3 linked regions of the Struthio camelus genome follow. The protein of the gene in region 2 interacts with the protein of the main gene of each other region in a biochemical or structural test. Links are inferred from orthologs where the notes say so. Each region holds a gene or a part of one and is shown on either strand. Other genes may lie near its edges.

Evidence for each region. The genes of interacting proteins can lie anywhere in the genome.
Region 1: the proteins of CDK2 (region 2) and MCM3 form a complex in vitro, tested with the Homo sapiens proteins (2 studies listed by BioGRID and IntAct, with this or other methods). The link is inferred for Struthio camelus from reciprocal best matches to the Homo sapiens genes CDK2 and MCM3.
Region 3: of the proteins of CDK2 (region 2) and NPAT, one has a biochemical effect on the other in vitro, tested with the Homo sapiens proteins (2 studies listed by BioGRID, with this or other methods). The link is inferred for Struthio camelus from reciprocal best matches to the Homo sapiens genes CDK2 and NPAT.

What each region holds. Positions count from the first base shown.
Region 1 is NC_090944.1:11,535,371-11,546,346, forward strand, and holds the start of MCM3 (DNA replication licensing factor MCM3), read left to right. Parts: upstream 1-6,183; 5' UTR 6,184-6,492; coding exon 6,493-6,573; intron 6,574-7,267; coding exon 7,268-7,380; intron 7,381-7,967; coding exon 7,968-8,176; intron 8,177-8,519; coding exon 8,520-8,650; intron 8,651-9,354; coding exon 9,355-9,593; intron 9,594-9,966; coding exon 9,967-10,075; intron 10,076-10,885; coding exon 10,886-10,976. UniProt on the Homo sapiens protein: Acts as a component of the MCM2-7 complex (MCM complex) which is the replicative helicase essential for 'once per cell cycle' DNA replication initiation and elongation in eukaryotic cells.
Region 2 is NC_090969.1:687,904-698,178, forward strand, and holds CDK2 (cyclin-dependent kinase 2), read right to left. Parts: upstream 4,866-10,275; 5' UTR 4,717-4,865; coding exon 4,601-4,716; intron 4,467-4,600; coding exon 4,389-4,466; intron 4,221-4,388; coding exon 4,100-4,220; intron 4,031-4,099; coding exon 3,860-4,030; intron 3,744-3,859; coding exon 3,642-3,743; intron 2,846-3,641; coding exon 2,642-2,845; intron 2,543-2,641; coding exon 2,438-2,542; 3' UTR 1,118-2,437; downstream 1-1,117. Other genes in the region: melanocyte protein PMEL, read left to right, coding at 6,721-6,784, 7,360-7,497, 7,578-7,724, 7,801-7,941, 8,016-8,177, 8,253-8,963, 9,197-9,577, 9,660-9,747 and 2 more. UniProt on the Homo sapiens protein: Serine/threonine-protein kinase involved in the control of the cell cycle; essential for meiosis, but dispensable for mitosis. Phosphorylates CABLES1, CTNNB1, CDK2AP2, ERCC6, NBN, USP37, p53/TP53, NPM1, CDK7, RB1, BRCA2, MYC, NPAT, EZH2.
Region 3 is NC_090942.1:205,613,835-205,623,858, forward strand, and holds the start of NPAT (protein NPAT), read left to right. Parts: upstream 1-5,231; 5' UTR 5,232-5,361; coding exon 5,362-5,398; intron 5,399-8,651; coding exon 8,652-8,770; intron 8,771-10,024. Other genes in the region: serine-protein kinase ATM, read right to left, coding at 257-421, 841-986, 2,378-2,490, 2,573-2,644. UniProt on the Homo sapiens protein: Required for progression through the G1 and S phases of the cell cycle and for S phase entry. Activates transcription of the histone H2A, histone H2B, histone H3 and histone H4 genes in conjunction with MIZF.

The sequences.
Region 1 (10,976 bases), on a different chromosome or scaffold from region 2:
AAGAGGAAGGCTACAAAACATCCTAATAGGCTGAAGGTCAGTCTTAATTTTTTGCACGCTTTACTGTGCCCTCTTGGTGAGATACAAGCAGCTCCCCATGCATTTAAAGTAAATACATTCTGTTCATAAGCACTGATGGTTGTTTTCCTTGTTTTTCTTCCCACACATTAAGAAGAAAAAAAAAAAAAGCTAGATCAGTTTAAAGATTTACCAGAGTGCATGGGAATGGCAAATACTTAAAGAAAATTACGTCAGAAATGCCTGAGTTTGGTGCAGATGCGATCGGGTGAAATTATCCAGCCTATGCTATGTAAAAGGTCAGATGAGAGGATTAAGAAGGATTCCTCCGGTATTAAATTATTTCTTCCACATTTGGCCCTGAAGCGGTGAGAGTCAGGATCACTCTTTCCTCTTGCAAGAGCAAATTCCACGGTTTGAGGTCAGCTACTGCAAGGACAGCTAGATGAGAACACGGAACGGACAAACCCTTTTTTACTCCTTGGAAAGCAAAGATTTAAACGGACAAAAACATTTCACAGATCATCTCATTTCCCACATTGTTTCTATTAAAAAGAAGCAGATTTTTTGTTTCTATTCAATACGTTCAATACATTTTATTACACTTCCACTTTATTCTAAATATTTTTGAAGCATCACAGAAATCTTAACCCAAATGTGCCGCTTAATGACAAAGTGACCCTCTCTTCTATCTGGAATATGCTTTCCTCATTTTTGGAGCTGTGGGTGAACCACAAGCCACTTAACTGCGCAGCTTACTCCTGCACTCCTTTCCCTTTCATGGGCTAGATAAGGTTGCTCGGTATAACGGGAAGCTAATAGATAGTAACTTGACTGGCTTGAAAATTAACTTTCATTTAAACTAAGGGCAAAATAGAGCCACGGAGAGATCACAGGGTATGTGCGTGTGAAAAAGCAGAGATCTCTCCAGTGGAACAGGAAATAAATAAAGACTATCAATAAAGCGGTATCAGAAACCTAGTGTACATGGGGACATCTATGCACAGCAATATAAAGAAATCTCACACCATGGGATTCAAGCATTCGCAGAGGTCTGAGGAAAAAAAAAATCCAGTAGGTAGTGATCAAAGTCATTGCTATTACAGTCGGATGTGGCCAGCCTGGTGCATTTTGCAGGAGAGCTGGCTCCCTACCCCATGCAATCTCAGCAAGGCCTTCCTCCTGCTCGGCAGTCCTTGGAGAAGCAGGAAAGTTTGCTAGCCAGTGCGGAGCAGCTCTGCGCCTACGTTCATGACCTGGCTGGTGGGAACTCAGGTGCTCCTCTGGCTCTCTCCTCCGTGGTACCTCCATCTCCCAATCTTATTTCAGCCCACTGCAAAGCCTCGTTGAAAATGTCAACGTTAGTTCTTCGTAGGCAAGCTGACAAAGCGTGGGCTAGAGGAGCAGACAGTGAGATGGATTGAGAGCTGGCTGGATGGCAGAGCTCAGAGGGTTGTGGTCAGTGGCATAAAGTCTAATTGGAAGCCTGTAGCTAGCAGTGTCCCCCAGGGGTCAATACTCGGTCCAATCCTGCTCAGCTTATTCATCAGTGACCTGAATGAAGGGATTGAGTGCACCCTCAGCAAGTGTGCTTTGATGATACAAAACTGGGAGGAGGGGCTGACACACCAGAGGGCTGTGCTGCCATTCAGAGGGACCTGGACAGGCTGGAGAGATGGGCAGAGAGGAACCTCATGAAGACCAACAAAGATGTGCAGGGTCCTGCACCTGGGGAGGAATAACCCCATGCACCTGGACAGGCTGGGGGCTGACCTACTGGAAAGCAGCTCTGCAGAGAAGGACCTGGGTGTCCTGGTGGACAAGTTCACCATGAGCCAGCAGTGTGCCCTTGTGGCCAAGAAGGCCCACGGTATCCTGGGGTGCATTAGGCAGAGCGTTGCCAGCAGGTGGAGGGAGGTGATCCTGCCCCTCTCCTCAGCCCTGGGGAGGCCTCACCCGGAGTACTGTGTCCAGTGCTGGGCTCCCCAGGACAAGAGAGACACGGCACTCCTGGAGAGAGTCCAGTGGAGGCCTACAAAGATGATCAGGGGACTGGAGCATCTCTCCTCTGAAGAAAGGCTGAGGGAGCTGGGCCTGTTTAGCCTGGAGCAGAGAAGGCTCAGGGGGGAATCTCATCAATGTGTATAAGCATCTGAAGGGAGGGTGTCAAGAGGATGGGGCCAGTCTCTTCTCCGTGCTGCCCAGCGATAGGACGAGAGGCAACAGGCACAAACTGAACCACAGGAAGTTCCGTCTGAACATGAAGAAAAACAACTTTCCTGTGAGGGTGACTGAGCACTGGAACAGGTTGCCCAGAGAGGTAGTGGAGTCTCCTTCCCCGGAGATATTCAAAACCCGCCTGGACATGATCCTGGGCAATGTGCTCTAGAGGACCCTGCTTGAGCAGGGGGGCTGGACTAGATGATCTCCAGAGGTCCTTGCCAACCTCAACCATTCTGTGATTCCTGGGAGCTGCACACCCTATTTGTTCCTCACTGATTATGATCGGCCTGATTTTCTGCCTGTACTAGCCTGGCTGGATTTCTGCCTGGAAGCAGGTTTGCAGCTTTGCAATGTTATGCTATTGCATCTCCACTTTCCCTGCCAAGAACACGTTACCCCTTCACATTATCCGTAAAGGCTCAAGAACAGAGCAGAGCAGGCAAAAATTCCACTGCTGGTCACTGCCTGACAGGCAGATGTAACTGCTATCAATGCCCATTTCTACCAAGCTGTAAATAGGAACAGTTAAGATATTCTGGTCAACACCGCTTGTGTGTCATTCATCCATGGAATTTATTCCTACACCCACTCTTGATTCTTTCAGGGTTTCGTTAATTGATTAAAGAATTAATGAAAGCCTTGCTAAGATCTGAGCTCTGCAGCCCAGACCTTCTATGTATTTAAGTGCTTAATTCCCATTGTTTTCAGTGGATAATAGGTGCCTAAATATCATTATGGATCTGTGCTTCACTCTTCCTAATAACAGCTGAAGTGTGACAGGACATATGAGAGAGAATTGCCTGGTGATCTGTCCTTAGAAAGTCTCCTAGGGAGTACTAAAAGGTAGGGATTTGCACAAGCCCCAGCAACGAGCACTTGGTTTTGTTGTTCATTTTAATTCTTCTCAAAATGCTTGTTTATTTTTAATGTTATCTATGGTAAATCTGGAATTTCCTGATAGCTATAGAATTAGCCGGTGCAAAATTAAGAAGCCCTGTTTGGCTGTCTTGGCTGAAAGTGACCCCTGGCAGATGTGTGTTTTGTGTGGTTCTCCTCCACTTGGTTTTATCCGAGAAAGTCTTTGCTAATAACATGAGCTAAAGGTGGAAGGTCTCCTCCCCACTCCATGTGGTAGTGTGGTTTTTTCGCCACGTCGTGAGCCGGCCCGGAGAACTGGCCCACTCACAGCCTCCCTGTGTAGCACGCTGGGGTATCACTGTCTCTCATGAGAGTGGAGACAACCCTGGAGGAGGCTAGCAGGGATGGCCATTCCAGGATCGTCACCAAAGCCCCTTGCTCACAAGCCCATAGCCTCGGGGTGAGACAGAGACAGTGTACCCATCCTGAAGGCCTTTTGTGAGCCTTCGTTATTTGGTGCAGCGTGCTCCAAGACTCTGGGATAGGCAAGGGCCACTGCAGTGCTTACATGATATAGGACAGCTGTAGACTCTACGCTGAGAGCGTCATGCTGCTTCCTCTGCCCCAGGACAGAGGCAGAGAAGCTTCTGCCACAGCTCGGTTTCTGCTGCAGTCTCCATCTCTCTTCATCCCTTTGTTCTCTCCGGCCTGACCTGTTCCAATTAATTATTCACACAAGCACCAGAGCAGCTGCTATAGGGCACTGTCATGAATAACAACAGGCAGTTATTTTTAGCCCTAACTCTTGTTACTTTGAGGTCAGGAGCGACGACGGTTCCTGCTGACTCCCTTTCAGCTCTAGCTGGCCTGGGAAGAGGGTGTCAAAATGTTAGTCCTGGGGGTCCAAACCGATCCCACAAGCTGGGGCAGAGCAGGGTGTAGAAGTGTGGGCCGAGCACTGCTCTGCACGCGCTGGTGGCAGTGGAGGGCAAGCAGCGCTCCCTTACCTTGCTCCGGGTCCAGCGAGCGCGACTCCAGAGCAGAGGACCCCATCCTCCTCCCCTGCTGGGAGCTAGGATTCGTTTTGAGAATAAGACACCTAAACATAGGTGAGATCACCATACTGTCTGGATATGGGTATCTGACTCTGGAGATGAATCCCACCCTGGTGACTCTGGCACATATAAAAGCACTAGCTTTCAGCTGGATTCATGGGTTGCTTTGCAACCAGATCCACAGGTGCCTGAGGAACTGCCCTTCAACTCAACAAATCCCTTCGCCTCCATCAATCTTTTTACCTGTGATAAAGCAAGTCGGCTGCATTCACTGATGGATTCAAGGGACTGTCTGTTGCAGAGTGAGAAAAACTGTTTCAGAGAAGATTATTTCATGTCAGGTTCTGGTAACATATACAGAACATATTATATTTCATTTAGGGACTTATACAGATGATTCCTCCAGGCACTTTATACAATTACAGCTGACCTGGCCACTTATATATCATTCTTCCTAATACCCAGGGCACGCGCTTCTCGCGTTCTTCCTTTCATGGCAGGGGTTGATAAATACACACAATACGTTACCCGAAATGTTTGTAGTGCTTATTGTATTGTATTATGTTGCCTTATGGAAAGCAGAATAAGTATCTTTCTATCTCTTCTGATAGTGCTCAGATGACTCTGGTCCCCAGTAGAGCTTAGATCAGCCCCAAAGGTGCTCTATCTTGCACTGCCAGGGGCTTTCTGAGGCTCTTTTACCAGGCCAGAAAGTCTCTGTGGTACAAGTACGGGCACACCAAAAGGCCTCATCCTCCTGCCATCCCCACGGAAGTCAGTGGAAATAAAACCAAAAATTGTCCAGAAAATCACGGAAAGAGATGGATTTGAGGGGAGTCTGAAGGAAAATGGGTGCTGTGGCGGCACACAGCAGCAGGAAGGCCATTCCAGGTGCAGTGTGCAGCTCAGGAGGTAATAAAATAGCCTGGGGGGGAGGGGAAGAGTGTAACAGAGCACTAAATCCTTTACTCCTGCCAGCCTGCCACATTCAATACTCTGTCGTTATTCCAGAGGAGGACTGGGCCCAAAAACTTTAGAAGAGCTGAAGTTGCACTTTGATGTGGAATTACCTGAAAAATCTGTGGGGCGAAACTCCTCAAGGACTCGGGTTACATATACCCTGAACCACTCACGATAGTTACTAACCACATTTCCAACGCGTTTAGAGGGAGAGGATCTAGAGACATAAATGGTAAAGGGGAAACAGGGTAGCTATTGTTTCCTGCGCCTTTGTTCCAGGGACTTTGCAAGCTCGTGAACTGAAGCTGCTCCCTCTAGTGACATCAAGCAGGAGGAATATTTGAGGCAGCATTTTACACAGCTAAACACAATCCTGAGAGAGTATTTATTATCCGCCCAACTACAACTGTTTTCAGTTATAGCACTATCTAGGGGACACAGGCAAGTTTGCATGCCTTGCTGAATAAAAGAGAACGTTTCTGCTTTTTAATCCGTAAACGATTTTTAATGATCGGAGTATCAGAGTTTAGATATTATTTTTAAGGTGTACAAAATAATATTTTTAGCGGGGTATCAGCGAGTTTTTATATACGTGACACTTAAGAGGTGCAACTGTCCCCCTTTTTCTGTGATTCCTGCCTGCAACATCTCTCAAAAACATGCGTAAAGCTCGCCATTTCTCTGCAAAATGCGCAGTATCTGTGTTGTTTTTTTTTTTTTTTTTAATCTCAAGCCCCCAATTCCTGGACTCACGTCAGCAAAGAAGAATTTAATCTGCCGTCTCAAAGGAAAAAGAAACGCCCACTCCCCACATGCTTCGGGGAGAAGACACCCGAAAACGGGTCTCCTCAAAATCTGAAAGAAAAATAAAAAGTGAAAAAAGTTAGAAATTAAAAAAAGCAAAAACAAAACAACAAACCTCCCGTGGTTCTCAACCCGCCGGCGGCTTCCAGCCCCTGGCAGCGCGCCTCCCGCAAGCGCGCGAAATCCCCCCTCGCCCATCTCCCCATCCGCGCGCTGATTGGCTGGCGCTGTGGCGCGTCAGCTCCCGCGAATTCCTGCCCCCCTCACATTGGCAGGAGGCTCCGCGACGTCAGGCCGCGCCGCCCAATGAGGAGCGGCGGTGGGAAGGAAGCGGAACACCCCCCCCCCCCCCGCTTCCCCGCGCTGTAGCCCTGCGGTGGCGGGAAAACGCGTCGGATTTGGCGCCAAGGGCGGAGCGTGGTCGGGCGCGATCGGCACCGGGTGGCAGCGGCGGAGCGAGGTCTGCGGCCCCGGCCCTTACCCGGCGCGGTTTGTGCGTCCCCCTCCACCCTACCCCACCGCGGCGCCGTCGGGAGCCCGGCGGCCCGCCCGGCCTCCCGGTGCAGCGGGGAGCATGGCGGCCCCGGCGGGCGCGCTGGAGGATGCAGAGCTGCGAGAGGCGCAGCGCGACTACCTGGATTTCCTAGACGATGAGGTGAGGCCGGGAGTGGGGCTGCGTTGGGGTGTTGCGGGGGGGGTGCTCTGGGGCATTTCCCTCCTTGCCCCTGGGGTGGGGGACCGCCTGCACCCCTCCATCCTCCCCCCCCCCCCCCCCCCCCCGCAGTCCAGTTATGGGATCCAGCAGCTGCAGCTCAGGGGCAGGCAGCAGCCGGCCTCGGGGGCTCTTCCAGCCTGGCTCCTTGCCTTGCTGCAGGCTGAACTTGGGGGTCCCGCTCCTGGGAGCTTGGCAAGGTGCAGGGCTGCTTTTCCCTTTAGATGTGAAGAAGAGCCAGCAGTGAGTGCGTATGCTGCCCGAGTGTGCTGGTACGGCCCAGGTGTGGGTCTGCTGAGCAGCCTGGGTCAGCCCATTCAGATGGACTAAAGCAGGCGTATCTGTGTTTAGATTAAATGCAAACTCAGCGCTATCTCGGACAACCCAAATCTGATGAGGATGATCTTTAAATACAAGAATGTGAGACAGCGGTGAAGTCCTTGGGAAAGGAGGGTGCTTTGCAATATGTGGGAAAAATTGAAAGTGCCCTAATGGGACCCGTTTCTTATGATAAGCTGCTTTGACATTGGGGTCAGCTTCTTTAAAAGGCTGCCAGCAAGAGATGCTTTGCAGAAATTGTCTCCTTAGGACTGTGTTTGTAACACCTGCTCATGTAAAATGGGTATTTCTTCTGCAGGAAGATCAAGGGATTTACCACAGCAAAGTCCGCGATATGATCAGTGACAACCAGTACCGCCTCCTTGTCAACATCAACGACCTGCGGAGGAAGAACGAGAAGAGAGCTAACCGGTTAGGGGAGCCTCTGATAAGCTTGGATGGGTGTTGAGTGGGATGGTGGGGTGCATCACTGGCACCACGCAGATATAGAAGTTTAACCCGTTTTCTGTACGTCTTGTTTGCAAGGAAGGGCCGGACCTTGTCCTGTGGACCACAAGAATGCTGGTTCCCTTGTAAAGATGGGCCTTGATGTTCATGCCTTCCAAAGCTAGCAAACCCTTGATTTGGTAAAAACTATTAGTTCTAGTATTTGCAGCAAGTTGGGGTTTTTTGCATGGTATGAAGCGTCTCCTTTTAGGATGCTAGTACCATTTTGGACCAGGCTTTCAAATCCGTTCAGGGACATGTGAGGTTTTGCAGATATGGTTGGACAGTTCTGCTCCTACAGTCCCTGGCTGTTGGTGGGAGCTGAGCTGACCAGCAGAGGTGATGAGCTTTGTCTTTTTTTGCCTCAGCTTTCTAGTAAGCTTTCAGAGTGTGTGGAGGCCTGGAAAAGCTTTGCACATTTTCCCAAATGTACTGATGGAGGAAGGCAGCACGCTAATAATGCCTGGTCCTTGCTACTGAGCTGACGACATCATCACCTCCCCCTGTTTCAGGCTTTTGAGCAATGCCTTTGAGGAGCTGATCGCCTTCCAGCGTGCTCTGAAGGATTTTGTTGCCTCTGTTGACGCCACCTATGCCAAGCAATATGAGGACTTTTACATTGGGCTCGAGGGCAGCTTTGGTTCCAAGCACGTGTCGCCCCGGACGCTGACTGCCTGTTTCCTTAGCTGTGTCGTCTGTGTGGAGGGCATCGTGACTAAATGTGAGTGTGGATGTGTGGTGGGGGAAGAATGGGATACCTGAGGTATAGCTATGCTGAAGAGCAGTGGTTTGAGGTTTTTGTTGTGGAGGGGCTGTAGCTCATCCAGGAGCTGAGGTGCATCTTGGCAACATGCATAAGGGGGAATACGGGACTAGATACAAGTTCTGAATGTTGAGATGGCCTTTGATGTAACGAATTTGGCAAATTCTGGCACGTAGCAGACCCTGTCTATCAACAGATGTCCCAAGTGCAGTTCTGAGTGGAAATTGCATGGGGGATTGCTGGCTGAATATAGAGGGGGTTTTGTTGGCCCTAGCTCTTTTCTCTTTTCTTCCAAACTCAGGTTCTCTGGTTCGTCCAAAGATTGTCCGGAGTGTCCATTATTGCCCAGCTACTAAGAAAACTATTGAGCGTCGCTATACGGACATGACATCTCTAGATGCTTTCCCGTCCAGCTCTGTGTACCCTACAAAGGTGAAGTGGTCTAGTGAGAAGTGTCAGCAAGTCCCTCTGGGGAGAATACGCTGTTTGTGAGCTGAGGGTCTCAGATCCCTGTGGATCTCTTTTTCCTCTGCCTACATAGTCCATGGAATAGAGAAAAGAGTGTGTGATGTGGCAAAGCCCGAGAGCTACTAGGAACATTTAAAACGAAGTCTCTGTTAGTCACACAATCACCAGACCAGCTTTCGTTTGAGAAGCTCAGATGTTAGTTATGATCTTGCTTCTGCTATAAGATGCTTAGCTGGTTTTCTTAAGGGTTTTCAGCCAGTTTTCTTGCTTTTGGTACCTGGGTTAGTATGGGCAGATCTGTCTTCTCCTGGAGGATATATGCATCCTTGGGCAGAATGACTGGTCTGTATTTGGGAGTGCAAGAATGTTGACCTGAGCTGTGACCTCAGTGCACGTACTGTTTTCTGCATGGGTGGTGTTATTGCTGCCTACATTAGCTACAGGGCTTGGAGAGAGAGAGTGTACCAACACTCCTGGGTGCTAAGAGTTAGATAAGGAGGCTGTGGAGCTGGTGAACCCCAGGCTCCGGCAGTCTTTATTAAGCAACCATTTTCAGTGGTCTTACGTGTTTTGGATGGTGCAGCCTGTCTTCTCGCCACTCAGCTCACCCATCTTTCCAGCGCTCCTAAAAAGTGATGCTAGTCTTATTCTTTTCGTTCCTCCTCTAGGATGAAGAGAATAACCCCTTGGAGACAGAGTTTGGCCTCTCAGTCTACAAGGATCATCAAACCATCACCATCCAGGAGATGCCTGAGAAGGCACCAGCAGGGCAGCTGCCACGCTCGGTGGATGTCATTCTAGATGACGACCTAGTGGACAAAGTGAAACCTGGGGACCGCATCCAGGTGGTTGGGACATACCGCTGCCTGCCAGGAAAGAAAGGGGGTTATACTTCAGGGACATTCAGGTGAGTCTCCTTCTGGCCTGAAGGACAACTCCAGGCTGTTCACACTTTTCAGTAGGGTCATGTCTTTGGCGGGTGAGGTAGGGCAAGTAGGTAGCCATCACAGAGCTGGGTTTGCTACTGGTTCCTTAGCATCACTATTGAATTGTAAAGTCCAGCTGTGTGTGGAGTGGGTTGGACACTCTTAAAGATGCTGCGTTGCCTGAGTAGTCCAGTTAGACAAAGACAGAGGAGGGTTATAGCTCTTGGAGCTTTCCAGCCCTCCGTGAGGACTTTCTAGAGCAAATCACCCTGTGGAAGTTTCTATTGCATTGTTGTTGTGACCTGTAGGCCTCTGGGGTTTGCACACCTGACCATGGCTGTGTTTCTTCTCCAGGACTATCCTCATTGCCTGTCACGTGAAGCAGATGAGCAAAGATATTCGGCCTCTCTACTCTGCTGCTGATGTGGCCAAGATCAAGAGATTCAGCAAGAGTCGCTCCAAGGTATTTAAATGTTACTTACGAATATGTCTTCTAGGTAGGCTTGTGTCCAAACATGAGGTTTCAACTGTAGCGGTTTTAAAGCTTGGCACGTGGTTAAGGAGCTGTCTTGTTCTTGAACGGGCTTTGAGTAAACTCTTCCCCCCTCTTAGCAATGTTGCTGGATCTTCCACTTACTTTCTTTGCATTTCATTCACAGTTCTATCAGGTTCTGGGAGGGTTCTTTTTGTTTATTTTGACTTGGTTTTGCTGCTTCTGTAATACTAGTAGAGCTTCCTGATTGTTGGCAGCTTTGTTGTGTGCAGTTGTGAAGATGGAAATCTGTGTTTCCTGAATCTGCTAGCCGGTTGCCAGAGAAATAGTCTATAGAAGAAATATCTTCCTCTCTTCTTCCTCAAAACTAAGAACAGAGTGATAGCACAGTGTGGATCACTGATGCTCTGAAAGAAAACGTAGCAAAATCACAAGTCTTGGGCTAAGAAGGGAAAAGGAGCGTACCCCAGTCTGATCCTATGATCTAGCCTTTGCTTTGTATCTCGGAGAGGATGGTGCCCTGCACTTAAAGGGTTTGCTGCTTCCAGTGGTTGCTGGGGTTATTGTGATGTAGGGCATCAGAACCGTGGCCAGGATGATTGAAAGAAAACTCCAACAAATGTCTTCTGCTGTATAAATAACTTTCACTGCTGTGGTTCTGTGGTAGCAATAAACTCCTTTCTTGCATGGGTGTGCTCAGATAGAGTTGTAAAGTATTACTCCTTGTTCTTGTTTGCTGCCGTCTATCTTACGGGCTATGCTTTGCCTCTTCTGCCTTAGGACATCTTTGACCAGCTGGCGAGATCTCTGGCTCCCAGTATCCATGGACATGAATACATCAAGAAGGCCCTTCTCTGTATGCTGCTTGGAG
Region 2 (10,275 bases):
ACCCGAGGCCAGAGCCGCGATGACTGACGCGGGCGAGCCCCGAGGGCCCAGAGCTGCCCAAGGCAGGCCCGCCCACCGCCTCCCTGCCGGCCAATCAGAGCCGGCGCCCACCATGATTGACAGCCCACGGAGGGGCGGAAGGGCAGGCCCGCCGAGCGCGGGGGCCGCTGGGAGCCGTGACCCTTGACCCCGCCCCACCGCAGCTCCCAATTACCTCACTTAATGAGGGCCCTCCCCGGGGGGGCGGGGGCTCGCCAGAGGCGGGGCTTATCCGGACCAATGGCAGCGCTCCAGAACAGAGGTGGGGCGTGGGCACCAATGGGCGGGGCCTGCGGCTGTGGGCGGGGCCAAGGCCTTGGTGGGGGGTGTCCCGTGGGGCAGCCCCACTGTGGGGCCGATGGGGGCGTGGGGTAGCGAGGCCCAGGGGCAGGTGTGGGGCAGGCCGTGGCACCAGGGGGGCACGTGGGGGGCCCTGGAGACCCCCAGCAATGTGTATGGGGGGGGCACATAGCCATGGGGCACACCTGGGGGGCCCTGGAGACCCCCAGGGGCACGTACAGGGGCCACGTAGACCCACAGCAACGCATGTGGGGCCCATGGCACATGGGGGGAGTCCTATAGACACATAGGGTCTGCAGAGCCCCAGGGGCAGGTAGTGGGGCCATATAGACCCACAGCAACATATAGAGGGGGACCATATAGCCACGCACATGCATAGGGGTCCTCTAGACCCACAGAGACACATGGGGGGGGCCATATAGGGGTACAAGTCGGGTGGCCACAGAGCCATGGGACCCTATAGGCGCGGAGGCACGTATAGAGCCCATGTATAAACGTAGGGGTGTATACGGGCGTCATTTAGCGACGAGGGTGCCTATGGGGGCCCTGCCCCGCCGGGAGGAAAGCCAGGCGCGTAGCACGGCTGGGGGGGGGAGCCACACACACAGGGTGCCTATGGCCACGTCTATAGGGGAAGGTGCAGGGCAAGGGTTTGTGCCGTGTGAATATATATGTGCACGTACAAGGGGTGAATGCAGGGGCTCACGGCGCGCGTAGGCCAACGGCAGCCCCTGGCGCCAGCCGCAGCCCCACCGCCGCCGCACAGCCACCACCCGGCAACGAACTAGGAATATTTAATGGTTTTTAAAGGAGTTACACAAATATTTTTAACATTTGGTAAGAAATCACAGCCGGGAAGTTACAAAAGTCAGCGACAAAAATACCCCGGCAGGGCGGGTTCGGAGACGGCTGTAAAGGGATTCTGTTACAAAACGCTCCAAGGTGCTTCTCTAAGAAACGCTCTACAAAAGAACTCTGCTACCACAGCCTCATAAATACCTATTCGCTCCAGTCCAAAAATACATCTGAATCTTCATGTTCCCAAATATTGCAGCAGGCAGCGAGCTGGTAGCGACCCCCGCCCAGGCCTCCACCTCCTCTGGCGGTTTCCAGCGTTCGGAGGGGGAAAGCGCGCCCGGCCGCGGGGCTCCCGGTGCTGCCCGAGGAGCCTTGAGAGCCGGGACAGCCCCGCTAAGACGAGGAGCGGCCGGCCTTCGAGACAGCGGCCGAGGAGGAGGAGGAAGCCAGGACACGCTGGGGACGAAGACGCTGCCTCCCTCGACCCCCTGCGCCCGGGGGACGAAGGCGAACGCGGGCAAAGGCCTCTCCCCTCGCGCCGAGGGAGCTGGGGCTGGTTTCCCTGCCCGGGACCTGGTCGCAGCCCTCCCCGCCAGGCCGGGGCTGGGAGCAGGGCAGTGGCAGGAGCTGCCCTGGCCCGGGCTGCCCGCACGGTCCCCATCGTCCCCAGGGCTGGGTGCGAGCAGCCCTGGACAGATCCGGCTGCTTCCAGGGAAATAAATACATCGGGGAGGGAGTTGGGTTGAACCCGCCTCGCCTCTGCGAGAGCCTGGCGCGATGCGCAGCCCCGAGCCGGGACGGGGTCCCCAAGGTCGCAGCTCCGCAGCCCGAAACGTCTCCCGGGGAAGGGCTGTAAGTGCCTGAAGTCCAGGGGAGGGGAGACGGGGGCCTCCGTGGGGCCAGAGCGGAGCAGGCCCGGCCCGGGCAGGATCGCGCCCGCCTGCAAGCGGCAGAGCTGCACGCCGGTGGCCCCACGCGGGGACCTGCTCCGCTCCCCGGGGGCTCGGACCCCGCTCGGGGCCGGAGGGCGGTTGCGGAGGGGAAAGAGGGTCCCTGAGCCCCGGGCTGGGGCCTCGGCGGCGCTGCCCCCGGGGCCGGAGGTGCTTCCCAGCATCTCGCCTCCGCGGCGGGGGGCCGGGGGGGCGTGCGCGCGGGCAGGGAAGGCGGCCCCCGCTCTCCGGGCGCTGCCTGGGCAGCGGGAGGCTGCCCGGTCCTGTCCCGAGGGCTCCGGCTCGGCGCCGGCAGAGCCCGGAGGGCTAAGTGCAAGCAGGAGGGGCGGCAGCCCTGGGGCCAGGCTGCGTCACAAGCGCAGGTGGGGGACAGCCCGGGTGACGTCGCGGAAGAAGGGGTGACCCAGCGCCGACTTGGCCGAGATCCGCTTGTTGGGGTCGTAGTGCAGCATTTGCTGGGGAGAAGAAGGGGGCGGTGAGGGGGCGGCCGGGGACGCGGGAGCCGCGGGACCCTGCTCCCCCCCCCCCCCCAACCCGCCGCGTCCCTCACTCACTGCCAGCAGCTTCCGCCCCTCCTCGTCCAGCGGCGGCACCACTTTGCTGAAGTCCTGCCGGGCCCACTTGGGGAAGCTGGGCTTGTAGTCGGGCATGGAGGTGACGCCCGGCCACATGGCCTCGTCCGGGGTGCCCAGCGTCCGGAAGATGCGGAAGAGCTGGTCGATCTCCGAGTCTCCGGGGAACAGGGCTCGCCTGGTGATCTGGGCGAGAGGGCAGAGCCGTGGAGAGCCGGGCTCCACTGGGGCTGCGGCCGGTGCCGTCGCCCCAGCACCCGCGCCGGGCCGGGCCGGGTTGACCCCAACGCGAGGCAGGGGCTGGCCGGGCCCGCGGGCGTTACGGAGCCGCCTGGCTTCCCCAAAGCGCCCAGTGACGGGGCGAGAGCCGGCGGGCGCCGCACTGGCAGGTCTCCGCCCCGGGACGCCTTGCCCTTTCCAACCAAAGCTCCCCCCACCAGCACGCGTTGGTGGGTGCCAGACAGGGCCAGGCTGCCCGACAGGGGCAAACCCTCGGCCAGAGATCAAACAGCCCCTCATGACGCGGCGCCGCGTGAGCTCCCGCGCCGGCCCCTCGTGACGCAGGCCCTGGCCCCGGGCAGGGTGCCGGCCCCGGGGACGTGTCCCTGCCCGGCCGCGTGATGCCCAGCCCGGGCGGCGGGGCTCACATGACGGCCCCGCTCGCCCCGGCCAGCGCGGCCCCTTCCTCCGGGGCCCGGGAGCCCACAAAGCCCCTTTTCTTCGCCGGTGTCCGTCAGCCGGCTCCCCGCGCCGCGGTGACGCCAAGGGCTGCCGGCCCCGGGCGTGCGGCCGCGCAGAACCGGCCCGGCGAGGCCGTGCCTCGTCCCCAGGGCGCCGGGCGCACCCGTGCCTCGTCCCCAGGGCGCCGGGCGCCTTTGGACGCGAGGGGACAGGGACCGGCGCCGCTGCGGAGCGTTGGGAGCCAGGCCGGGCCGCGCTCGGCGCCTCTCCCCGCGCAGGGGCGCCCCGGGGGGCCGCTCACCATCTCGGCAAAGATGCAGCCCAGGCTCCAGATGTCCACGGCCGTCGAGTAGTACTTGCAGCCCAGCAGGATTTCGGGGGCCCGGTACCAGAGGGTCACCACCTGCCGAAAGGGGCGAACGGGCGCTGGCTCCTCCGCCCTGCCGGGCCGGCCCAAGCCGTCGCTCCCGCCGCCGTGCGGGGAAGCCGGCAGGCCGGGCACGTGCTCGGGGCGCTCACCTCGTGCGTGTACGTCCGCACGGGCACCCCGAAGGCGCGGGCCAGGCCGAAGTCGGCCAGCTTGATGGCTCCCTCGGCGTTGATGAGCAGGTTCTGGGGCTTGAGGTCGCGGTGCAGGACGCGGTGGGAGTGGCAGAAGGCCAGGCCCTGCAGCAGCTGGAACAGGTAGCTCTGCGGGCGGAGGGCGGGCGGTGGGCGCGGGGCCGCCGGGAGCCAGCCCGCCGCCCGCCGCGGCCCTACCTTGATCAGGGGCAGGGCGATGCCGCTGATGGAGGACGAGTCCATGAACTTCTTCAGGTCCTGGTGCAGGAACTCGAAGACCAGGTAGAGCTTGTTCTCCGTGTGGATCACGTCGAGCAGCCTGGAAGCGAGCGGGGTGCAGGCCTGGGCCCGGCGCCGCGGCCAGGCAGCGGGGCGCTCCGCTCCCGCGGCCGGCCCCCGAACCGGCCGGCCGAAGAGGCGAGGGCCGGCTGCGAGCGCGGCCGGGGCGGCTCCGCCAGGCGCCCGGGCCCCCCGCCGCCCCGCTTACTTGACGATGTTGGGGTGGTTGAGCTCCTTGAGCAGGGAGATCTCGCGGATGGCCGTGCTGGGGACGCCCTCGGTCTCCCTGCGGGTGAAGCCACCGGGGCCGGGCTCAGCGGGCTGGGCCGCCGCCTCGGGCCCCTCGAGCCGCCGGGCCGGGCTGCCCGGGGGCGCCGCGGCCCCTCCCGCGCCCCGGCCCGCCGCGCGGGGCTGCCTCACGTGTCCAGGCGGATCTTCTTGAGCGCCACCACCTCGCCCGTGACCTTGTTCCGGGCCTTGTAGACGACGCCGTAGGTGCCCTCGCCGATCTTTTCCACCTTCTGGAAGTTCTCCATGGGGCGGCGGGTGGGGGCCGGGCCCGGCACCGGCGGGAGGCTGGTGCAGGGGGTCCTGGCGCTCACTCCCGGGGGGGATGCAGGGGTCCCGGGGGCTGGTGCCGAGAGGGTGCAGGGTGTCCTGGGGGCCGGTCCCGGGTGGGGGGGTGCAGGGGGTCCCGGGGAGGTTCCGGAGGGGGGTGCAGAGGGTCCTGGGGGCCAGTCCCAGGGGATGCGGGGGGGGGCCGGTCCCGGGGGGAGGTGGGGGGGCCAATCCCGGGGGGGAGCAGAGGGAGGGTACAGGGGGTCCCGGGGGCCAGTGCCGGGGGGGCAGGGTGTCCCGGTCCCGAGGGGGGCAGGGGGGGTGCAGGGGGTCACCGAGGCCGGTGCCGGGGGGGGGGCCGTCCGGGGCGTGCAGGGGGTCCCGGGGGCCGGTGCCGGGGGGGCCGGTGCCGGGGGGCCGGTCGGGGAGTCCCGGGGCCGGGGGGAGGGCGGGGGGGGTGCAGGGGGTCCCGGGGGCCGGGGGGCCGGTCGGGGGGGGCGGGGGGTCCCGGGGCCGGGGCCGGCGCGCGGGGCGGATGGAACGTTCGCGGCCGCCGCTTCCCCCCGCGCGCTACAATGTTGCCGCGGCCGCCGCCCGCCCGCCGCTTCCCGCCTTCCGCCGGCCCCGCCCCCCGCGCCGCCCCATTGGCCGGGGCTGCCGCCGACGCGCCGGGCGACGCGGGAGATCCCTTAAAGGGACAGGCCCGCCCCGAGGCCGCTGACGCGGGGACCTTTCCGGGGGGGGGGGGAGGCCGGGCCGAGCCCCCCCGGACCAGCTGCTTCCCGAGCCGACCCGGCTTGTCCTGGGGGGGGGTGTCCTCCTGGGACAGGGACATGCTGGGCTCTGGCCGGGGACCCCCACAGCCCGGGGACGCAGTTGGGGTGGGATCTGGCGAGGGACCCCCACAGCCCGGGGACCCCCACGGGCCGGGGACGCAGTTGGGGTGGGATCAGCCAAGGGACCCCCACAGCCCAGGGACCCCCACAGCCCGGGGTCCCCCACAGCCCGGGGATGCAGTCAGGGCGGGATCAGCCCGGGGTCCCCCACAGCCCGGGGATGCAGTCAGGGCGGGATCAGCCCAGGGACCCCCACAGCCCGGGGTCCCCCACGGCCCGGGGACGCAGTCAGGGCGGGATCAGCCCAGGGACCCCCACAGCCCGGGGACCCCCACAGCCCGGGGCCAGGGCCGTGCTCCTCTAACCGCGGTTCCCCCGTGGCCTGGGGACGGGGTCGTGCTGGGTGCTGGCGAAGGTCACCCATGGCCGGGGCTGGGGTCCCCGTCCCCAGGTGCGCCCAGCGCAGGGTCCCCGGCCGCGGCCGGGGCGATGCTGCCACCTCCCCTCCGGCCCGGCCAGCCACCTGGCAGGGGACGGAGCCGGCAGCGGTGTCACCGAGGAGGAGGGCCCGGCTCGAGCTGGGCGCCAGGGCGGCCGCGGCGGGCTCTGAGCGCGGAGCCCCGCTCTCGGGGGCAGCGGTGGCGTCGCCAGCGATTTGGGCGCAGGGGAAGGGGCTGGAAACCGCGGGAGGAGTCCGGCGCGCCCACGCGGGGCAGCGGCCTGCAGGGAGCGGAGAGCGGGCCAGGTGGCCGCCCCGGCCGGCCGCGCGGCGCTGCGTGACCGCAGCCGAGGCCCCGGGGTGCCGGGCTCCAGCCCGGTTCCCGGCGAGCCGAGCGGGCGCCCTGCCCCGGCCGGACACCTGCGCGGGTGCAAAGGGCCCGCGGAGGGGAGCAGCCGGGACCAGACCCGGCAGCAGACCCCCCGAGGGGGCTGCGGTGCGTGGAAGGAGCGTGTGACCGGCCGGCCGGGGGCGGGGGGGCCGCACGCGCGCCCCACGCGCACAAGGGCAGCTGGGCGCTGCGGGGGGGCCGGGCCCCGCGGGGTGGGACTATGCAAACGAGAGCCCCTTCTTATCCCCCCGGCGCCGGCGCCTTCGCCTCTCTGCCCTGGCAGTGCCCGAGCGCGGGAGGCGACGACGGCCGGAGCATGCGGGTGCAGGGGGCGATCGCGCTGCTGGGGGCCCTGCTGGCCCTGGCCGCAGCTCAGCGCCGTAAGTGGGGCCGGGGGAGCCGCGAGCGGGGCGGCCGCTCGCCCATGGGTGCGGGGTCCCGGTGGCACCCAGAGTCCCACACCGGGCGGCCGTGGCCAGGACGGTCCCGGGCGGCGATGGGGCCTGCCGGGCTCCCCAGGGTGGCCAGGGGGGCGGCGGGGAGTTAACAGGGCTGCTGGTGGGCCCCGGCCCCCTGCCCAAGGGAGGGGAGCAGGATTAGCCCCTGCTGATGCCCGGGCTGGGCACCGCGGGGGGGTGCGAGCGGGGCCGGGGCGCGTCGCGGGGACCCCGCGCTGCCCGCGACGGGCGGCATGGCCGGGGCGCCCCTGCGAGCCGGGGGACAGCGGGGGCACCCGCGGCGAGGGGGGGGCTCACCACCCCGCCGGGCCCGGAGCCGCCGCCGGCTCAGCTGAGAGTCACATGAAAGGGCTTGGGCAGCGCGCGGCGCCATGTGACGGGCTCGGCCCCCCGGCGCCGCGCGCGGCCTGGCCCCAGCCCATCACGCGGCGTCTGGCCGGCGCGAGGGCCGCGCGCCCGGGGCCGCCGGGGAGCCCCGTCACCCCTCTGTCCCCCAGGAGCCGGCGGCCGGAGCCCCGGCAGCAGCCGGCGGAGCCAGACGTGGAGCCAGGCGCCGGCGCCTTTCCGCAGCTGGGACGCGGGGCTCTACCCGCCCTGGCAGGATGGGGCCCCCTGGCAGAGGGACTGCTGGCGAGGTGGGGGCCGGGGCCGGGGCGGGGGGGGGTCGGGGCCGGCGGCGCCCGTCGCTGAGCCCCGGCCTCGCGCCCCTCCGCAGGCGGCAACGTCACCTTCGACATCAGCAGCGACGCGCCCACCATGGCGGGCGCCAAGGCCACCTTCTCCATCGCCCTCCGCTTCCCCGGCGGCCAGGCGGCGCTGCCCGACGGCCGCGTCGTCTGGAGCCGCGACGGCACCGTCAACGGTGAGCGCCGGCCGGTGCGGGCGCCCCGCTGCGCCCCCCGCCGCCGCCGCCGCGCTCACCCCGCGCCTCCCCGCAGGCACCCGCGTGGCCCGCGGCCAACCCGTCTTCCCGGAGCAGCTGCCCGAGGGCTCGGACGGCGTCTTCCCCGACGGGCAGCCCTTTCCCCGCAGCGCCCGGGGCGAGCGCGGGAGATTCGTCTACGTGTGGTGGACGTGGGGTGAGACCGCCGGCGCCGGTGCCGCCGGGCCCCCCGGAGCCCCCGGTGCCGGGGCTGACGCCGCTCCCCCGCAGGGCGGTACTGGCAGGTGGTGGACGGCCCGGCGTCGCGGCTGACGGTGGGCACGGCCGGCGTGCCCCTCGGCTCCTACACCATGGACGTGGTGGTCTACCACTACCGCGGCCGCCAGAAGTTCATCCCCCTCGGCCGCGCCAGCACCCGCTTCAGCGTCACGGGTAGGAGCCGGGGCGGCGGGCGGGGGGCACCGGGGGGGCGGCGGGCGCGCTGACGGCGCCGTGTCCCCCGCGCAGACCAGGTGCCCTTGGCCGTGGACGTGGCGCAGGTGCAGGGGGCGGCCGGCGGCGCCGGGCGCTTCGTGCGCAACCGCGCCGTGGCCTTCGCCGTGCGGCTGCACGACCCCAGCGGCTACCTGCGCGACGCCGACGTCTCCTACTCCTGGGACTTCGGGGACGGGAGCGGCACCCTCATCTCCCGCAGCGCCACCGTCACCCACACCTACCTGGAGGCCGGCTCCTTCGCCCCGCGCCTGGTGCTGCAGGCCGCCATCCCGCTGAGCCCCTGCGGCAGCTCCGCGCCGCCCCTCGTGGACCCCACCACGGGGCCGCCGCCGCCCTCGGCGCGGCCCACCGCCACCAGCGCCGGCCCCGCGCCCAGCACCGCCGCGGCGCCCAGCACCGGTAAGCGGGCGAAGGGGCGTCCCCGGTCCCCGGGCGCCCCACGGGCACCCCGCGACCCCTCCGCTCTCGCTCTGCCGCCAGCAGCCACCGCCTCGGCGCAGCCCTCGGACCCCTCCGGCACGCGGCTCAGCCTGCTGGCGCTCAGCACCCCGGCGGCCACGTCCCTGCCCGGTGAAGGAGCCGGCGCGGAGCCCGCTGCCGTCTCCGCCGCGGCGTCTGCGGACCCCCTGCTGCCCGCCTCGGCCTCCCCGGCCGGGGACGCGGCGGACACCTCGTCCCCCACGGCAGGACCCGCTGCCAGCGCGGCGGCAGCCCTGGCTGCAGGTGGGTGCCCTGCTCCGACGCCGGAGGGAGGGAGCCGCGGTGGGACCCCGCCGCCCCGTCCCGCTGCGGGCTGCGTCCAGGCCCGGGTCCCGCAGCTTTGCCGGGCAGGGACCGCGGGGGGAGACCGGCCCCTTCGGGGCAGCATGTGACTGGCCACGTCCTCGGGGTCGCCGAGGGTTTGGCTCCGTCCCTCCCTGCCTTTCTCCAGCCTCTTCTCTCTGGTTCCCCTGCAGATGCTGCGACAGCTGGAGCCACAGCTGGAGCCACTGTTGCATCCCTAATGGATGCCACAGCTGGAGCCACAGCTGGAGCCACAGTTGCACCCCCAGTGGGTGCCACAGCTGGAGCCACAGCTGGAGCCACTGTTGCACCCCCAGTGGGTGCCACAGCTGGAGCCACAGCTGGAGCCAGCGTTGCACCTCCAGCGGGTACCACAGCTGGCGCCACAGCTGTACCCACAGCAGGAGCCACAGCTGGACTCGCAGCCTCCACCTCTGCCCCCGAAAGCGCCGCGGAGCCGCTGGCGCTGGTGAAGCGGCAGGCGCCAGGCGCCGAGCCGACCAGCTGCGTCCTGTACCGCTACGGCACCTTCTCCACCCAGCTCGACATCGTGGGTGAGCGCCGGGCCAGGGGGGCTGGGGGGGGACCAGGGGGGACCGGGCGCTGGCGCCGCTCTGACCCCGCGGCCCCTTGCAGAGGGGATCGAGAACGTCGCCGTCGTCGCGTCCGTGCTGCCGGAGGGCAGCGAGAACAGCGTGGAGCTCACGGTGACGTGCGAGGGGAGGTGAGGGCCGCGCGGGGACCGCCAGCTGGGGCGGGGGACAGCGAGGGGACCGTGCCCCGGGCTGGGGGGGGAGGGCCGGGACCCCCGGGCCCGCGCTGACGCCCGCCCGGCAGCCTGCCCGAGGAGGTCTGCACCGTCGTCTTGGACGCCGAGTGCCAGACGGCGCAGCAGCGGACGTGCAGCGCCGTGGAGCCGGCCCCCGGCTGCCAGCTCGTCCTGCGCCAGGACTTCAACCAGTCCGGCCTCTACTGCCTCAACGTGTCCCTGGCCAACGGCAACAGCCTGGCCGTGGCCAGCACCCGCGTCGCCGTCGGAGGTGGGAGCAGGGCCGGGGGGGCGAGGGTCCCCGTGCCCCCTCGGGGGCGGCGGGGCCGGGACCCCCCGCGGCGCTGAGCCGCCTCTGCCCCTCCGCGTCCCGCAGGTGCTGCTCCGGCTGCCGGCAGGACCACGCTGGTGCTGGGGCTGGGGCTCATCGCCGCCGCCCTGGCCACCGCCGCCTACACGTACAGGTGAGCCCGCGGCGCCCCG
Region 3 (10,024 bases), on a different chromosome or scaffold from region 2:
CTTACGTTTCAGCAGGAAATAGACAAATAATATGCAAAAAGAAGCAAAGCAATAAAGATTAACGATTGATTTTATTTCAGTTGTAAGTCTTCAGGGCTGACCCTACCTTTCTTCATGTGTTTTGTCTCGTACCTCATACAATGTGTAGTACCTCACGCAACAGGGCTTTGCAGTAATAGCATCAGACAACTAAAACCCATCTAAACATACTTTCATAATAGGAAAAGACACTCGTAAGTAGGCTTAAAAATGTTACCTGACCACTGCTGCTGGGATATCTCACACCAGTATCTCCTTACTGAAAGGATATCCTTTAGGAGTATACTACTACAGTCAGCTCCGTAAGCTGCACAACTTGTTGCATCTCTCATGATTTTCAAGACATAATTCAGAAGTTCCTGACACTTCAGTCTGGGTCCTCCTATGTAAAGAAACAAAGTGAGCATTGCAATTAATCCAAAGCTTGCATAACAAACCCGGAATTAATTGCTTGCAAAATGATCATTTCCATATTCACTATTAAAAAAAAAATGCAGTTCAGAAACAGTTTTGCTGGAGATCATATTTTTAAACAAACTGTCTCTAAAAACAAAATTACTTACAAGAAGAGAAAGGATACACCAGTTATAGGCAAAGCAAATAATTAAAAAGGCATTGTCAACATCAACAAGGTAAGTCATACAAAGAACTAATGCAAATAAAGATATTTAATTTGTAAACAACTGAGAGTGGGCAAGATGAACCCCACCCTGACAACTTGCTTCAGAGCAAAAATTCACAGTTGAAAGTAAAGCACCAAATAAAAGAATCAGTGATTCTACATGGACATGTATTACTGACTTTTATTAGCACGTCTGATGAAGTATTTGACCAAACTGCCAATCTCTTGCATCTTTTTCTGTCTGGAAGTTTGCGTTGAAACAGATACATTTGGTTTTGTCAGTCTGAAGCTTTCCATCTCTTTCTGGAAATATTTCTGCAGGACTCTTCAAAAAAAACACCAGAGACATTAATCAAGAATCTGCACGTTTTTGACCTAAGTAAAATAAGTAAACATTGTTTGCACTTAGAATTCAAGTGCTTGCTCATTTAGCAATTCTGATTCTAAAGCTCTGTTAAACACCAAAATACATTACAGCGTAACCATGATAGGAATAGTTTATAAAAGGAGCTGAGATGATCCAGAAGGAACTCGGATAAGAACTGAATATTCCTACATACTTTGCATAATGCTAAACATACAATCCATGATAACGAAAAAAACAATATCGTTATTTATGCTGCGACTTATAGCACAAAATAGTAAGAAATACTTTTTACTGGCTGTATTGGGGAAAACCTTGAAGTCCTTCTGCTTTTAAGCTCACTTACAGTCGACTGGATGTTTTAACTGAATATTTTTGGACTTAATAGATATGCACTTCCTGAAAAAATACAAACCTTCCAGCAGTGTGGAGAAGGTATTATCCATTTATTACAATAACAATTCTCTATCATTTAAAGTTAATATGTAATACAAATAGATTAAACGTTTTACTGGCTTTGTTGCAATTTCTGTAGATTTTCTGGCTTGTTATTTGTATTCAGTTTAGAGTCTGGCCATCTCAAAAGCAACATAAGAAATTTACTGAAAAGTTCTTACAGTATTTTGCTACAGGTGTAAAACAAGACCCATTCAAATGCCATCCAATTAAAAAATATTCTGTAAATCTGCCCAGATGCCAATCTGTAAAAACTAATACTTCAGACACACTTTAATATGAAAACTGCAGTGGGCCCAACTGCTCTAAAAACTTATCCCGCTCCCACTCAGTCCAATCTTGTAGTACACCTAAAGCAATTATATCAAAGATGGGCCTCTACAAACCTCACAGCATGACCTCTTTAGCTTATAAGGCACAGTCCTTCTGCTGTGTCTTGAAGAATTCAGTTACAGAAAAATTTTAAATGAGATACTTAAAATCGACATATGAACTATAAATTGAAAGTCAGATGCAGAGGATATTTTTCAGTAACAGAAAGTAACTATTATTTTTGCAAGAAAAGCTAACCACCTATTAACAATCAGTTTCTCAGGAGACGGTTCTAGTGTTTGTACATTTACAACGTGCTGTGTGCCCCTGCATCTTCTGTAAGTGGAAAGTGTTGTACTCAGATGATTGATGCATTATTTGGCTATTTTAGATTTATTTCTTTTAGAGAGTAACATAAGTCATTTCTTGACTGACAAGAAGCCTCAATCAATCCGCAGGAAGATAAGCATTTAAATAAGCCTGATAAACAAAATAGTGATGTTCCATGCAAGAAACATGACCTTTCACCAAAAAAAAAAAAAAAAGAAGAAAAATGCTTTGCTCTGGACAGTAAAAGAACCTACCCAAATACAGCATCCCAGCTGAGTTGCTTTGCTTGTTTAGAATCAGAATTCCGGTCCAGTTGGAGAACTGTTTCAGAATCACGGAGCAGTCGCTTGAAATTTTCAATTTCTTTCTGAAAATGTATTTCAGGAAAAAAAAGGTTATTAATCATTCCCTTCATTGAGAATGATATATACCAGAAGAAACCTTATTACCCTTCGCTCTGTAGCTTTATCATTCTCAAGGTGACGGCAACAAACGAGCAGATCATGTAACACAAGACTCATGGTTCAGTTTAACAGGACAGTCATTTGCATCTGCAAACAGAAAAAAAGGATGAAATAAATTATTTTATTTAACACAGAGCCAAGTCAATCAGTTCAAAATTTTGAATTTTCAATATATTGCATTTCCATGTCAAATACAACAGCTTTACTTCACTCAAAAGCTCATTCCTCTCTGGGTTGGTGCTATTGCTCACAAGACAGAAGTAGAAAGTGTCATGTCAAGAATGCAATCTATTCCGAAGAGCAGTAGTTGTGGACAAAAACAGAAAAGGGTCCTTTCACATGACTGACTTCCTTCTTTTTAAGGCTAATGAAAGAGCAGAGAGTCGATGAGACAATACAGACTGAAACATGAACGGTAATGAGAACACACTCGGCTCTATGTCATTTTAATCAGGCAAACAGCACTAACTTTCAGGACATAGCAGTTATCAGAAGCACTTTTAACCTGATGAGGAAAAGGCAGCTCTTTGAAAATAAAACTTTCTTCCACTCTAACCTTCTCTATTATACAGCTATGCACCATTATATTTACAAATGCCTCTGGACTCCAAATACCACAAGATGCTCAAATATCAACGACAGGAGAAAAATACTTTTTTGCTTCTATTACTACTTAAGATTATGCCCTACCTCTTTTAACATACGTCCGAATCAGATCAACCTTACATTTCTGGTTTCCAGAAAATTATGTTGACGCAGATCATGACAATGAAATTGTATGCAGCGTCCATGCTTCTCCTTGTACCCTTTCCCTTAAACTAGCCTCAGGACAAACTCTTATCTGAAAAACAGAGATGGACATGCTGGAAGTAACACCAAGCATATGCTGCTGAAGCTGCAGTATGAAGCTGAGAACTGGCATACATGATGCACATCACTGGCCCCGGAACACTTAAGTAAGAATATATAAATAACCATTTAGCTGAATAAGGCAGTTAAAACTTTAAAGATCTACCGTCTTATACAAACATCATCTTGCTTTCATCTTCTTTGGATTCAACAGAGATCACGCTGAGACAAATGGGTTTCTTCATATATGTCTGGAAACCACATTTTAATAGCAAATTATTTTGACTGCTTTATAATCCACGTGATTACTTTGACCGCATTAAAAACCGAGGTGAGGAGAAAAAGGACAGAAGAGTTGACCAATCTGTGGAATAACCAGGGGCAGGGGTCCCTGACATATACCCTTCCCAAAGCAAAAACAAAACAGCAGATTTCAAATGTTTGACGTTTATGCCATCTATACAGCGCATCACAGGAAAAAAAAATACTGAGCACGTTCTTTGACAAAAGGTCAAACTTGACAGATAGTCCTGTGCATAAAACTCTGAATATTGAGAGCTCTTGTTCCTCTAGAAGAGTTCGAACCTCTGTCTTTAATCCCCTAAGATCATCTTTCCATCTTATCACAGTGCTAGGATTTATGGGAACATCACGACTTGAATGGCCTTTTTCCTGTCACATATTCATGTGCCCACCTTCCTGTTCTCTTCCTTGTAAATCTGTGTCTTAAAGGTGACCAGAACTGAGAACTCAAGACAACCGTGAAACACAACGTTAAGGCACCACCATGTAGTAGTGGCAGCTAGCAGCTAAGATGGATGGAGACAGTCAACACGGAAATGGAGCTGAGTAAACATGACCAGAAAGGGATGGTGGCTAGTTAGGTATTGAGGAAAAGGAACCTATGGCAAGCTTGAAAGGCCTGCTCTGGCGTACAACTAAGCTCAGTTAAGCAAGGAAGCATTCCTCTACTAACTTGCTACTTATGCCGAAAATAACCGAAAGCAAGAAACAACATTTCACATGCTAAAGGCTTCTAAAACATTGATGGGATGAAAAATTAAGGGTTGACTGAGAACTGTGGCAACACGGGGTTGTATGTTGTAGGGACTGGGGCTCAAGAAGAAAGAGGGCCGCGTCTTCTTTTACTGGCATTTAAAGGTATTTTAACTACCATGACAACAACAGTGACAAGTTCCTAACACTGTACGCACTTGCCGTTTCTCTTTGCAGCCCAGTCGCCAACTACCAAATCATGACGGCACTCATCCCCTTTCAAAAAAAAAAAAAAATACCTGGGACAAGTGGGACAAGGAAGGAGCCCTTTAAAAACAGCAGACACGCACCGAGCGCTCCTCACCGAGCTACGCTACAGCGGCCCAACCGCCACCTCGCGGGTAACCACAGCCGACCACCCCAGCCCGCCGCCAGGCGAGCGCCGGGCCGCCGCCGCCGCCCGCTGCCTCCCCGCCGCCCGCCACCCGCCGCGCGGGCCGCCCCTCAGCACCCGCGCGGGGACCGCGCCTCGAGCAGCCCCTCAGCCGGGGCGGGGGCAGGCATCGGGAGGGCACGGACGGGCAGGAGCAGGCCCACCTCTGAGCGGCGTCAGGGGAGCGCAGCGCAGCGCGGGCGCGCGGCGGCGGCTTAACGGCCGGCGGCGGCGCGCGCCCCCCTCGCGGCGGCGGCGGCGGGCGAGGAGAGGAGAGGAGAGGAGAGGAGAGGAGCGCAGCGCAGCGCACGTGTGGGCGGCGGCAGCGGCGGACCTGGAAGCGGATGCGCGGCGGCGGGTTCCGGCGGAAGGGGCCGGGCGGGGCGCTGGCTGGCGGAGTTTCCGCGCCTTGCCCTGGGTGGCGGGGCGGCCGCGCCGCGCCTCGGGGGGCCGCGTTCGCCGCGCCCGCGCCGCCTGCCCCTCCGCGCCGCGGGTCATGCTGCTGCCGTCCGACGTGGCCCGGCTGGTGCTGGGTGAGTGCGCGCGGGCGGGGCGGGCACCGCCGGGCCCGCGGAGGCGGCCGCGACCGCGGCCGCGCAGGGCGAGGGGAGGGGAGAGGCGAGGAGAAGCGAGGAGGGGGCTCCGCCGGCCGCTGACAGGGCGCTCGGGGCGGCAGGCGCGCGGAGGCAGCCGCTGCGCCCTTGAGCCTCGGCCGGCGCCGGGCCGTGGCCGCCCGCCGCCGGGGATGTCACCCGTGTCCGCGGCGAGGCGCAGTGCCTGGGCCGCCCCGGGGCGGTCGGGCGGCCTTGGGCCCCGCTTTTAGCGGGGAGCGCGGCCGGTTCGCCGGCGGCTTTCGGCCCCCGCGAAGGCAGCGGCGGGGCAGGTGGAGGCGCCACGTTGTGCTCGGGCGGGTGCTGCGTCGGGAGCCGCCCGGGAGCGGCGCTGAGGTGACTCCCGGGAAGGCCGGTGGGCTCTGCCGCCTCCTTGTGCGGGCGGGGGCTGGTGGGCGAGACTGGGGGGAGCCTCTGCTCTCAGCACCAATCCCGGTGGTCCAAGAGGCCAGATGAGAACAGGTGAGGGTTCAGCTGGTTTTTCTTTCCCTGTTTCCGTGAGCCGCGAGGTCAGATCGAGAACTCCCTTCTGTGGTGCGCGCTGCGTCCGTGGGAAGCATAAAACAAGTGTTTTCAGGACCTTGACAGCAGGGAGGATAAACTGCTAAAAAGACTTTACGCTTGCAATGTTTGGTCACAGCCAAAGATGAGAGCAAGTGGCCGTGGATTGGAAGTAGGACCCCTATATGTAATAGGTACGCTGTCAGCAGGTACTGGTCCAGGTCGCTAAGATTTCCTGGCAGTTTTCATAGCAAGATGCTGTTTTCAGGTGCACAGACAGCCTGGGCAGATTTTGCCAGTCAAAAACCAGTGAGGCTGAATCTTTTCTTTCGTCTGTCTGCAGTTCTATTTATTTTTAAACGCTACCTGAAACGTTTGTTGTTGCTTTTCGAGAACTGAGCGTAACAACAGAAACATTGTTTTTATTATTGCAAAGTAATAGGATTTTTTTCAAATTCTGTGCATTGTAAAAGAACACTTACAATTTGGCGCGGGATATCTCTTTTTGGCCATTTACTTGCTATACTTTTCGATAAAATTTTGGTTAAGTTGTAAGTTTCTTAGTAAACAGTTTATCTCACGTGCTGCGTAGAGACTTGTAGATAGAATAAAAATTTTGAACGTTTCGCGTGTATTGAGGATGCTCCGTCCTATCTTGCGTCTGTTGTGGCGTAGTGCATGCAGTAGTCCTAGAAAATCTCTGAGCAACCCAAGATTGTAGAACAGGATATTCTTAACAGTTATTTTTGTCTTCTAATAGCGATTGCTCCTCTCTGAGGCATCTGAATTCTGAGCAGATCAACAGGCTTCCTAGCGCAGTTCCTCTTCCTTTTTTTTTTTTTGTTTTTCTCTAGCAAAGTCTTTTTGGTGCTGTGAGTGTTGATGAGTATTGATTTAAGAAACAGAACTAAAATGGTAAGATGAGCTTGCCTGTAGAAAAAGGCATAAGCAAATTTATCGTTTTCTAGGTAAAGAGTGAATGAGTACTGTAAGGTAGACCATAGGTCTTCACATATATTAAGATAGAACAAAATGTTGAATACTTTCTAGTTCAGCAGGCACTCTTCCTTTTGTGCCTCTAACTTGTTTTTGGTAATGTTGAAGGTTGTATATGATTCTGTTATTGTAATGTACGTGCACAGACAATTTAAGTTCAGTCGCCGTTATCTGCAGGAAATTGATGTATGTGCCAAATAGGCCTGTGTGCTGGCATTCAGTCATCCTTCGCAATAGGAGGCTCAAGAAAGAAATTGCAACTGTTTTTTAGCAAAGATCCAGAAGATGGGTTTGATCTGTGCTGGTATGGCTGTTCTTACAGTCGAACTCCCATCTAGCTTAATGCCCTGTCTGTAATACTGGTCAGCAATGGATGGTACAGCAGACAGGCATAAGACTGGCATGTAGGTGTATTTCCCCCAGTGTGCCCTCAGCTTCTAGCAATTTGTGGTTTGAGGATTTTCTAACAAAATGTATTTGAAACATTAAATATGGCAGCCCTCTCTATTCCGCAGGTGCCAACTACATTTTGTCCCATATGGGCTAGCTCGTACATCCTAATGAAACTCTCAGCAGTTATTCTCAAACTGTGTTTAACTTTGAAGTTTATTTGTCGGAGGCCTGTGAGTGTGAAAGCTGATCTACTTTTTCTAGCTATGCTTGGATCTGATAAAAGATATTATGTCTTCATGTGAACTTAAAGGCAGGATTTTTCTATGGACTTTCCTGAACTGAGGCAGGCTGTTTTGGGGTTCTGTGTGAATATGATTAGGTATGTGTATTTTAACTCTTTAAACGATTGCGTATGCAGTTCTGCTACAGATAAGAAAGAAAAGGCACGATATTTTGTTTTATGGCTCTTTTGTTCTGTAATCCTTTACTCAGATTGATCTAGCTTTACCTTTTAGCGTTTAGACTATTTGAAGATTAAAGCGGGATTTAAAATACCTTAAAAGAGCATATTAACTGAGGACTGGGATTTTGAAAAAGTGAACTTTTTCAGTATAGTTCCTGGTAAGATAACTACTGAGTCTTGGGGTAGGGTATATAAAGTGTACAAGTGTACACTAGAATACCTATTAAAAATGAAAATTACGGTAAGTAGAAAAACAAAATACTGATTTTGTAAAAATAATTTTTATATAATGTCATTTTTGGAAGAAATCTAATGCGCTGTCTTAACGATGCATATGTTCTACCTGTTCTGAAGCTGGAGAATTTATGGAGAGTTATTGCTGCACAGCAATGCATTTTATTAATACAGTACTATAGAATTCTATTTGTTTATAAAACTAGATGTTTATAATCAAAACCCATGTGTGAGTTTATTCCTGACTTAAGAAGTTGATATTTTCTTTCTTGTCTGTACAGTGCTATGTGTACTAACGATCAGTCAGAAATTGTTCATATTGTCTCACTTCTAGTCTTGAACAGTTTGTAAATCCAGTACAATGTTAATAATATGTGCTCTTTCTGGTTTTAACTATTAAAGGAATACGTTGCAAGATAGGTGTTCTTTCATAATGACTTCAGTTTCCTTATCTAATGCATGAATCCTTATCTAATTGTTCCAACGTTATATCATATAGTTGGTCGTATTAATGCTTCAATACCTACCAAGCACAACATGCAGAAATAATGAATAAAATAGCAAAGTCTTCTGTCTGATTTATTGCAGGGTATTTACAACAGGAAAAGCTTTTAGCTACCTGCCGTGAATTTATTTTGGAAAGCTCAGATTTGAAAGAATATGCAGAGCACTGTACAGAGGATGGGTTTATTCCGGCCTGCTTGCTGGTGAGTTTGTATTTGTAACACAGCAAGTTAAATTGTGTTACAGCCGCGGAAGAGAAGCCTTTTTTTCCCCCCAAAAAGAGTTTTCAGAGTTTTTTTCAGAATACATATGAACAGTGTAACAGTTGCTTCTCAAATGGTGCTTAAGCTGTTTAGTTTGATGGTCATCTCTATTTCTCAGCATCTTTCAATATTTAACATTACTAATAAATAGTTAAGAGGAAAATATGCCAATTGTGTTCAGCATGTTACATTTAGTCTGCTTCATTGTTTTCAAGATTGATATATACAAGGGTGTTCCAAGCATTTTAATTGATTTCAGGATTGCTCTAGTGATTTATTGAAGATCACTTCCTTTTTTTTTAGATACAGCAGTCGGTAATGTTCTCTTTCATGTAAATACTAATTTAGGTAAGGTGCCTCAGCTTTATTTGAGCGTGTCAAAAATTGGTGAAAACAGCTATGTTTTGATTCAGCTTCCCCTTTAATCAGTATGATCTGCTTTGTGCCAGATGAAACGTGGAACTTTGGGCATGGGTATAAATACAACGTGCAGCTGCGTACGTAGATAGGTGCATATAACTACAGGACAACTTGATGCTTTGCACTTTCAGCATATATGACCTGAGATTTTTTTAGTTAGTAACAAAATTATAGGTTTTGGATATTGCTATATATCAAACTTTTGATATTTGTATGTGTATCTTCTTCCCGTTTTGCATTCCATTCTTCTAACGTACCACTCAATCATGTAGTCTGGGATTTTGTCCACAATATTGAAAGTGTGTGGAACTCTTCTGAGATCAGTGATCGTGATACACGTATGAGCATGGAACTTCTTATTTCGTTAACAAGTGTCTAGTCATCTATACTTTGGGAGCAGTGGGGGAAGGGAATTGAGAACCAAGCTATGGCCAGGAAGAATTAGACTAACAACTGTAAGTAGAAAGGATTTATTCGTATTCTTTAAGTTTTTGATTCTCTTCCTTTTCTCAAGAGATACCTTTTTCCTATTTTTCATAGAAAGGTGATGATATTATAGCATAAAGAAAAAAAACTCACTGCAGCGCAAAATACTTGCAATTCAGTAAAGTGCTTTTGTCAGGCATGTGCTGTAGGAGTTGCTACAAGTAAACAAGACAGAAAGGTACAGTAAACGATAGCAATAATTTGAAAATTTTATTTCTCTGTTTCACCTAAAATAACAGAACAAATAAATATGAAATGAAAGTTAATAATAGTAATTGTACTTTAGGC